3 linked regions of the Solanum lycopersicum genome follow. The protein of the gene in region 3 binds, or shares a complex with, the protein of the main gene of each other region. Links are inferred from orthologs where the notes say so. Each region holds a gene or a part of one and is shown on either strand. Other genes may lie near its edges. The genes, in order: protein TIC 20-II, chloroplastic; protein TIC 20-v, chloroplastic; protein TIC110, chloroplastic.

Region 1 (2,642 bases), on a different chromosome or scaffold from region 3:
TTTTGGATCTTCCGAGAAGTTGCCTCATCGATAAAGGCCAGCGAATATAGGAAGTGAAACTGGAAAAAGTATATTGAGATATGTTGATATATCTTTTTTCAAATTATTGACCTACATTATGGCAATATAGTGTAAGCTAGTCCTGACTACAGTTTTGTATACTGCCACCCAAATGTTTTCATGTGAGAATAGTCACTTCAAGTTGCATTGTAGTAGATTTGGAATTTCCACAGTGTTGTTTTTGCTCTCATTTTGTGACGACATGCTTCAAACTTTCTTCGCAAGGTACGGGCAAGGTTGTGTATACACCATCCTCCTCAAAATCTTATTTTTGTCTCATAAATAATGAGCTACTCGGAATAATGTAGCGATGGTCCCTTTCTCTTTGACATGAACTTAGTGAAACTGAGTTCTCTGCAAAGATGCGGTGTAGCGAATGTAGGGTTGTTCAAAATTGATCGGAACCGATATTCCGTATCGAAAAAAAGTTATTGGTTTAGCGGTTTTGAGAACGGCTTTGATTTTTTTTTTGTTATCGGGTTATCTTTTGAGGTTATCTCTTAACTGGATAACTGATAATCCGATGGTTAATTAAATAATTATATTCATATCATTTTGCTTATAAAGTCCTTAATTTAGAGTTTGGTTTCCTACTTTTGTTTCTGATTGTCTCAAACACTTGGTTATTCTACGATGTAAAAGTGTTTGCTTTTGAGCAAGATGAAACTTGTGAATTCATGTGCATGGTTAAATTGGTTTGCCACCTTGTTCTAAAGTGATTTTCAATGTGTTTTTTTGTCAAACTTAACGGTTAAATAAATTATCGAACCGAACGATCAATAACTGATAAGCTAATCTTAATGGTTCTACAACCGTTTAGCATATCTACAAATCGATAACTAATAAGTCAAATCGATAAACTTCAAAGCCGAAGTGTTCGATATGTAGCCCTAACTGAACGGATAGACGATAAGACCCTATGTACCTCAACTATAACTTAAATGTGTACGATAAGTTAGAGATGGCAACACACAACAATCAATTGATTAATCCTGAACTTCACAACAACTTTAATCGAATGTACAGATGAGAGGTGGCAACACATAACATAACAACCAACTGACAAAGAACTTCACACAATCTTAATTGAACCTATATGATATTTGAGAGGTGGCGACGCACAACGAGCTATATTGAAAATTACTCGTTGATCAATCAATAATCCGTTGTAGTCTAGTTGGTTAGGATACTCGGCTCTCACCCGAGAGACCCGGGTTCAAGTCCCGGCAACGGAAATTATTTTTTTTCTAATTTTTTAATCAAAATAATGCATTACAACTTGTACCTCAAACAACAAAAATCCATCTTTATAAACACCCAAAAAAAACCTCACATTTCCCCTAAAAATGGCTTCCATTCCTCTTCTCCGTTTCACTCCCACTACTACCCCTCGTCTTCTCCCCCACCCTCTCAGCCTCAATTTACTCCAAACCCGTATTCAAACCCGAACCCGTATCCATACCAAACCCACCACTTCCATCTCCGCCTCTTACAACCCAATCCCCGCCACCGACCGCCTTATCTCCGCCGTCGCTTACTTTCTCCCCTTCTTCAACGGCCTTCAATACGGCCGTTTCCTCTTCGCTCAATACCCAACCCTAGCTCTTCCATTTCAACCAATTCTCCCTCTTCTATCACTCTACCGGTCCCTCCCATACGCTAGCTTTGTCACTTTCTTTGCACTCTACTTAGGTATTGTTCGGAACGAGAATCTGAACAAGTACCCCCGGTTCAACGCCCTGCAAGCGGTGGTGCTCGACGTTCTACTGGTGCTTCCGATGTTGATTCAGAGGATATTTTCACCGGGTCAATCGGGTATTGGGCTGAAATTTACGGTTTGGATGCATAATGGGCTTTTTGTGTTTGTTGTGGGCTGTTTTATTTATGGGCTTGTTTCTTCTATACTTGGAAAAACTCCTTATTTGCCTTTTGTTACTGAAGCTGCTAATAGGCAAATGTAGTTCTTTTTAAAATTTATTTAATATGTTGTTTTGTGGTTTTCTCTAATGAAAGGAAGGTTTTTGTTGCATAGAATTGTAATTTTAATGTATGATATTTTAAATCGAATCGTCGATGAGATGTTTCTCCATGAGAGATGCAATGGAAAGGGCTCGTAAAGTTCAAATCTTGATAAAGTAACTTCTTGGGATAAATAATAATATCTTGATTTTGTAATGGAATCATTACACGTTATACTTCACACCGAACAACTCGTAAATGTACTAGTAATAATGGGTTTTCAATAATACATTGTTTCTTTATCAGCTATCAAACGATCTCTAAGGAATATCAATGGCTTTTGTTGAATAGAGAATATAATTCCTTTGCTTATATCAACACTTTTCAAGGTTTGGTCTACATGCATATCATACATTGTCCTCCTCAGATCCCACTTGTGGGATTACGCTGACTATGTTGTTTCTGTTGTCGTAAGTTACATTGTTAAAGGGTTGAACTTCAACAAAGAATAATAAAACTACATTTTGTTCATCATGCAAGGCCAAAACCAGAATACTATCATTGACCAGAAAAACGATAGGGCTTCATAACCTGAAAACCATCTCAATGTAACCATAGGATCA
Region 2 (3,039 bases), on a different chromosome or scaffold from region 3:
TCTAGGTTGGGGTGGAGGACATTATCCGAATTGTCTCAAAGAATAACATCAAAACCTGATACCTAACTTCCGTGTATCTCTGCATACTTGCCCTTTTCAAGATAATACAAAACGAGACCCTTACTTAAAATCATGATACAACTGGCTACTAGGATCATGAATTTCTTCCTTAAACACCAACATACCGATGATGTAACATGTTACCTCATCCAAAAACCAAAAAAAAGAATGGTGATGTAACTAACATGTTACCTAGAAATAGGGATTGAACTATCTTCATATCAAAAAATGACAGAACTTGTAGATAATATCACCACCTTTGTGGCACTCAATGGCAAGCCATCAAAGTCCATGAAGCTGGAACGAAACTACACAACACGAAAGTGCAAATCTATGCAGAGGCAATAAGATCTTCTATTTGCCTAAGTTGTAGTGGGCAGAGTCACTTGGAACAATTCCAGTTAAGATATTCCATGAAATAGTTGAGGTGTACGCCAGGACATTACGGTTATAAAAAAGAAATACCTCTATATATTTTTGTTAATGCAGATACATAGAAAAAAAGTAGTTACTTGATTAAAGAAACCGAAATGCCATTACAAGAATATACATATCCACATTAAGAAACAGCAAAATGATATGCATGAACAAGGCTCTAAAGAGCATAAACATTTACTTTCGGAACGAAATAGATATTAATTGTCAGCTAAAGCAAAACATAATTAAGTGTACAAAGAGGATGAAACCTCATAAACAAGTAAAATTACGAGTTCATAGCACTTGCCTATCAGCAGCTTCAGCAACAATAGGCAATCTAGGTAGCTGACCCAACAAGCAAGACGAAGTACCATAAACCAAAGATACCAAAAGAAACAAAAACACAGTACTATCAAAGCTCATCATCAAATCCAACCCAAACCCATCACTTGGATTGAAACTCCTCTCCAACAAATCAGGAAAAATGAGAAGCACATCAAGAACAATAGCTTGCATAGTGTTGAACCTGACATATCTACTAAAATTAGGATTTCTTACAACAATAAAGTAGAGTGTAAAGAAAACCAACAACCCGTTAAGCGGAAAGCTCTTAAAAACCCTTATAGCTGGTACTAAAGGTTGAATAAGTGTTTGTATTGGAGCAAACTGTGTGATTACATATTTACCGTACTGAACACCATCAAAGAAAGGGTAGAAGTAAGTTATGGCGGAGATTAAACGATCTGGACCATCTACTGAGTCGTCGTTCTTAGATTGAGCTCGAATTGTTGGCCTTTTAGGGTTTCTGAGTTTTGTTGAGGGTTTCAGTAGAAGAAATGGCGAGTGTTTGAGTGTAATGGTGGTGGATAAAAGATTGGTGATGGCCATTGTTGAGGATGGCCAAAGATATTTGTTTTGGGGGGGAGAAAGAATGAAAAAGGGGAAATTGGATTAGGTCAGCAGTCAATTGAAAATCCTGATGGAATTGCGGGTCGGGCTACATTGATACCATTTGAATATCCATAATTCCATATCCATTTTGGAGGAAAAATGTCTACGGGTCAAATACATACGCAAGTCTTTAAAGTTGTTCGTGTTTTTCCCAGTTACCTCAACTAATCTAGATTCCTATTGAATCTTTTAACCCCCTATAATTTGATCTTTTTAAATATTCTTGGCTAATGTGGAGCCAAACGTGATCTCACGTCCTTTAAGCGTGTGCAGACGCTTTAAAAGCGCTGATGTGGATCTTGAACCATCCACCAACGATTTTCTTCCCCCTTTTAATCCTAATTTCTCCCATTCTTCCCTTATTTCTCCTCTTTTGTTTCTCTTCATCATTATTTCTCCTCTTTAGCTCATTATATTATATCTCTTTTTCATTGATTTCTTTTTAATCATCAAGTTTCAATGTCAAATTTATCTACTTCATCGATTTCTTCTTCTTTAACTGCGAAAGTACTATGTCAATATGGGAACGTTGTGAAAATGAAGATCTCATGGACGCAATCCAATCCTGGACGTATATTCCTTTGTTGCAAAACTTCAAAGGTAAATCAAATTCACTTTTTTTTGTCCAATATAGTAAAGAATCACCTTATTTATAATTCAATTTTTTTCTTTAATTTTGTAGGCACGAGGTGGATGTGGATATTTTCGATGGTATGATGATGAAATGCCTGCTCAAGCTAGGAGGGTGATATGGGGTTTGTCGAAAATAGTCAAAACATATGAATTGGAGAGGAATCGATCAAGAAAAATATGGATGATATGCATTATCGTAGGGATGATATTGGCTACTTGGATTTGTGTAACAAAATGATCTTAGTTGGTTCATTTGTCTTCAATTAGATTCCTTCATAAAAGTATGTATGGTAGATTGTAGAGTTCTTTGTGGACAATTTTGATCGATTTTTCTATTGTAAATGCCTTGTGTTTTTATTGTAATGATTTAATTGAAGGAGTGTAGATAATTTATGCCTCAAAAGCAGTAAAAATTGATCATTCATGCCATTAATTTGCTCTAGTGAGCTTCAAGTTTCAAGCAGTCAATACAAATTTCTGCTGCTAATTACACAACCAAAAAGTGATTTTTCTACATAAATTAGGCATTCTTTGGTGCACTAGATGTTCCACGCTTGTTTTTTCTTGAATAAGTGATTTGTTTCAACTGTGAACCAGTGACAGCATCTCCACCATTCCACTTGAGTCCTCGAGGCTTATAACCAATATCAATATTTGTTGGAGCTGCATCCTTATAAACTCTCAAATTGATAATTTTTTCTCCTGAAGTACCAGCTGCATAGAAATATCTTAAAATGAGACTTTATATAGTAGAGTAAGAAATGAACAAAATTATGTATACACTTTCAAATACCATACCAAGCTCAAAAATTGCTACAACACAATCAGGATCAAATCTTACCTTTTTACTTTTTCTTCTACTTGGTAAATCAACACTCTTAACAAATTCTGGATCCAATTCATTCCTATTGTCTTTACTGTTCAATTCTGAGCTATCTATATATTGCTTCACCCCTAATCTTCCAGTGTATCTAGCAG
Region 3 (3,664 bases):
CCCACCAGCAATGGCTACCAAGTAACTCTGTCCACCAAAGCTAGAACAGATGGAAAAATCACCTTACGTTTTGTCTCTGCTGGCAACTGAATCTGAGACCTCAGGGAGCTCAACCCAACAGAACTAGCTTTAGGAAGTTCAATTATAAAATCAAATTACTATTAGCCAATAAGCAAACTGATGACATTGAAGGTGCTATAAACAACACTCCTATTGTCACTCCAGCTTCATGGCAAAGCTAATTGCTGGGTTTATCAAAAGGAGAGCAACTAACAACTCTATGCAACTACGCTTAAAACGAAAAAACCTCAAATTTCAAGAACTGCTAGAGGATGAGGTTTTAGTAATACAGAAGAAAACAAAATTTGGAGTCGTTATTTTGTACTTGAAAACCTCACTTGTATTGTTCCTCTCTGAGGAACCAACTAAAACAAGCAGATATTCTCAACAGGTTCTTGTTAGCACTCCCTCGTGTGCAACTGAAAACTCGACTACTTCCATGTCTTCCCTCTCCAGATAAAACAATTAAGTATGAAATGTCACTCAAAATACATTAGAAAACGAATCACATTGTCATCACGTATTACCTTGATGAATCTCAAGAGCCTTTTGTGGATCAAAAATTAATTCTTCACAAAGGTTTTGAAGATAGGCTGCTTTGCTTTCGAACGCTTCTAATTCACCACTGGTAACAGCTTGAGCTAGTCGTTTACGGTATACCTTTGAGGTTACATCCAATGTGATTGTATCTGCTTCTCGTTTCCCCAAACCAAATATATTTCTCAATTGGTTCAAAGCAGCAAGCTAAAAGAGGAAGAAAAGTTGTGGTTAAGAGGATATAACTAAAGATAAACAGAATAACAAATCAAATGGCCTCGAGAAAAGATGCAAGAGAATACTATAGCATCTGGATGATTCCATGGCATGTAACATAAGTGAAAACTCATTAGGAAGCAAAACAATTGAGCATATTCATTAAAAAGGAAAGGATTCATATGATCAAACCTTACGAGTGTATCGGTCTAAAGACCAAACAGACCCACAAACCATCTCATCATCAATAAGAAATCTGTTCCCCCAAACAAGCTAAAGGTAATCCTTAATGTGATAATGAAGAACATAGACTGGTTTGCAAGCAAAGAGCCTTAGAAGAACATAAACTGATCTGCTTGCAGCTATTCAACGAATTCTATTATCGCATTACCAGATATTGTTATCTGTAGTTATACCAGCCTTCACCCAGAAACCAAGATTCCACAAGGTTGAATTACTCCACATCAGTTAATTTCTCTGTTTCATTTATACATGTTTTACTCTTTTTTTTAGTCTATATGAAAAAGAAAATTGCTTCTATATTTCATAAGTTCTAAATTTCAATATTACAGTTATACCCTTAATGACACTCCATTTTTAGGAATGATATGGCATGTTTAAGATCACAATAGTTCAAAGGGTGATGTGACGCATGAGGCAGCCATAAAAGTGAGACTTGATATGCAAGTTGTCCCAAACAGAGATTTAAGTATCTTGGGTCTCTGATCCAAGGAAATGGGGATATCAACGATGATGTCACACATCGTATCGGTGGAATATAGATGCAGAGGAGGCTTGCGTCCGTTGTCTTGTGCGATAAGAATGTACCACTGAAACTTAAAGGTAAAAGTTCTATAGAGTAGTGGTCAGACTGGCGTTATTGTAAGGGGAAAGTGTTGGCTAGTCGAACTCTCATGTACAGAAAATGCAAGTGGCGAAAATGAGAATGTTGAGATGGGTGTGTGGGATGAGGGAAGGGAAGCTGAGATGGTTTGGGCATGTGAAGAGGAGATGTACAAGTGCCTCAGTGAGGAGATGTGTGAGGTTGGATATAGTGGGGACGAGGAAAGGCAGAGGTAGGCTGAAGTACTGGGAAGAAGTGATTAGCCCAGATATGACGGATCTTCAGCTTACTCCATCTTCAGGTAGGCCAGGAAATTTTCGACAAAAGAAAAGAAATTGATCCAATTGAGGCAAAGACTCCAGAAAGTGCAGGAGGAAATGGAGGAGGGGCAGGTTGAAATGGCAACACACCTCCTCAACCAAGACTTGATCAATGGAGAGAGGAAACCAGTGCAGACCTTTGAGAAATGGGGAAGTCTTTACGAAAGGGTATTAATGCAGAAGGAACTACAAGTACTTATCTGTCCACCTGAAAGCTAGGCGAGCAACGAACAAAATATCCTCTATTTACACAGAACAGGGGACTAAGCTGACTGATCCAGAACAGATACAACAGGAGTTTCTCCCGTTCTTTCAAACTTTGTTGGGGCCAGATGCATCAACCATGCCTTGTATACTCATGCACAGCTCGAGATGACCCCTGCCTTACAGTTGAACAACAACAACAGCTACTGCAACCCGTGATTACTCAGGATGTGGTGAAAGCCTTGAAGGACAAGCCAGTGAACAAGAGCCCATGTATTGATGGTTATATTGCAGAATTTTAAAAAACTTCTGAGAAATAATAAGGGGGAGGAAACGGTTCTTTGAAAATTGTAAATAGTTAAAAGGTGTAAACACAACCACAGTCACACTTGTGCCTAAGGTAACTGCACCATCATATGTAGTAAATGCCAATAGATTGTTGCACTACCCTGTATAAGCTTATAGCCAAGATACTGACTGCCAAAACTAAAAACTGTAGTGGACTATATTGTTAGTCCTTTGTCAGCTTTCATCCAGGGTAGAAACATCTTAGATAATGTACTGACTGCACGTGAGATGGTCAAGGGCTACTCTTAGAAAGGAATGTCACCTAGATGTTATGTTGCGTTTGTTGACACCTAATTTTGACCCTCCATGATAGGAATTGACTTTCGATTTTCTTAAATTCCAAACTATTTGAAATAACCAACTTTGTAAAATTCAAAATATTTTTCAAGTTATTTAATATAGCTTTGTCACTCTTTAGGGCCTTTATTTTGCAGCCCAATACTCAAAATGACCCTATTCATTTATTCCCCTTTTCCAACAACAATTCTCATCCTTTCTAAATCCTCACCCCCATGTTATCAATTTCAAAACCCAGAAATCCCAGCCCACTCCTTTTGACCCAACCCAATTCCCTTTTCCCTTCTAATCCCATCGAAAGCACCAACTATAAGGCGTCAAGCCAAACGGAATAGTACACGGTAGCAAGACAGCGAATTATTAACGTCTTCACAGCCAACAGACGGGGATTACATGGTGTCAATCGACAGACGCGTACAACGGTACCCAGTATTATTTTCTTGTCATCTTCTTCCTTTCCCTCAACATACAGTACGCTTAGTACAGTTCCAGCGCCGATTCCAGCTGCAAATTCGTCCTTGTGGCCTCAAGATCGAGCCACGTAGCATTCGAAGGACGATGGGTTGATCTTACCCCTCAATCTCGCCTTCAATCTGTTGAAATTGCAAGAATCATTGGGAATATGCTTTTGCTCTGGATAGATTTCCATTTGGAAATTCAAATTTTGGCCCTTCTTTTTTAGCCCGATTCTACCCTCATATGTTTCCCCCCAAGTCTGCCCTATTTCCTCCTATAAATACCTTCTTTCTTATTCATTTCGGGTTGGAGATCCTTCACTGAGAGAAGGGTTGGGAATTCAAAACAGAGAAAGAGAATGATACAACAAATTAGCTATAAG

The links.
Region 1: protein TIC110, chloroplastic (region 3) and protein TIC 20-II, chloroplastic share a complex: the UniProt entries of both Arabidopsis thaliana proteins name them as parts of the tic complex. The link is inferred for Solanum lycopersicum from reciprocal best matches to the Arabidopsis thaliana genes TIC110 and Tic20-II.
Region 2: protein TIC110, chloroplastic (region 3) and protein TIC 20-v, chloroplastic share a complex: the UniProt entries of both Arabidopsis thaliana proteins name them as parts of the tic complex. The link is inferred for Solanum lycopersicum from reciprocal best matches to the Arabidopsis thaliana genes TIC110 and Tic20-V.

Annotation. Positions count from the first base shown.
Region 1 is NC_090810.1:3,715,835-3,718,476, reverse strand, and holds protein TIC 20-II, chloroplastic, read left to right. Parts: upstream 1-1,369; 5' UTR 1,370-1,406; coding exon 1,407-2,021; 3' UTR 2,022-2,094; downstream 2,095-2,642. UniProt on the Arabidopsis thaliana protein: May be involved in protein precursor import into chloroplasts. Not redundant with TIC20-I, TIC20-IV or TIC20-V.
Region 2 is NC_090811.1:6,212,267-6,215,305, reverse strand, and holds protein TIC 20-v, chloroplastic, read right to left. Parts: upstream 1,442-3,039; 5' UTR 1,366-1,441; coding exon 772-1,365; 3' UTR 555-771; downstream 1-554. UniProt on the Arabidopsis thaliana protein: May be involved in protein precursor import into chloroplasts. Not redundant with TIC20-I, TIC20-II or TIC20-IV.
Region 3 is NC_090808.1:26,796,325-26,799,988, reverse strand, and holds part of protein TIC110, chloroplastic, read right to left. Parts: intron 805-3,664; coding exon 588-804; intron 1-587. UniProt on the Arabidopsis thaliana protein: Involved in protein precursor import into chloroplasts. Forms a voltage-dependent cation-selective channel at the inner envelope of chloroplasts, which specifically responds to a transit peptide.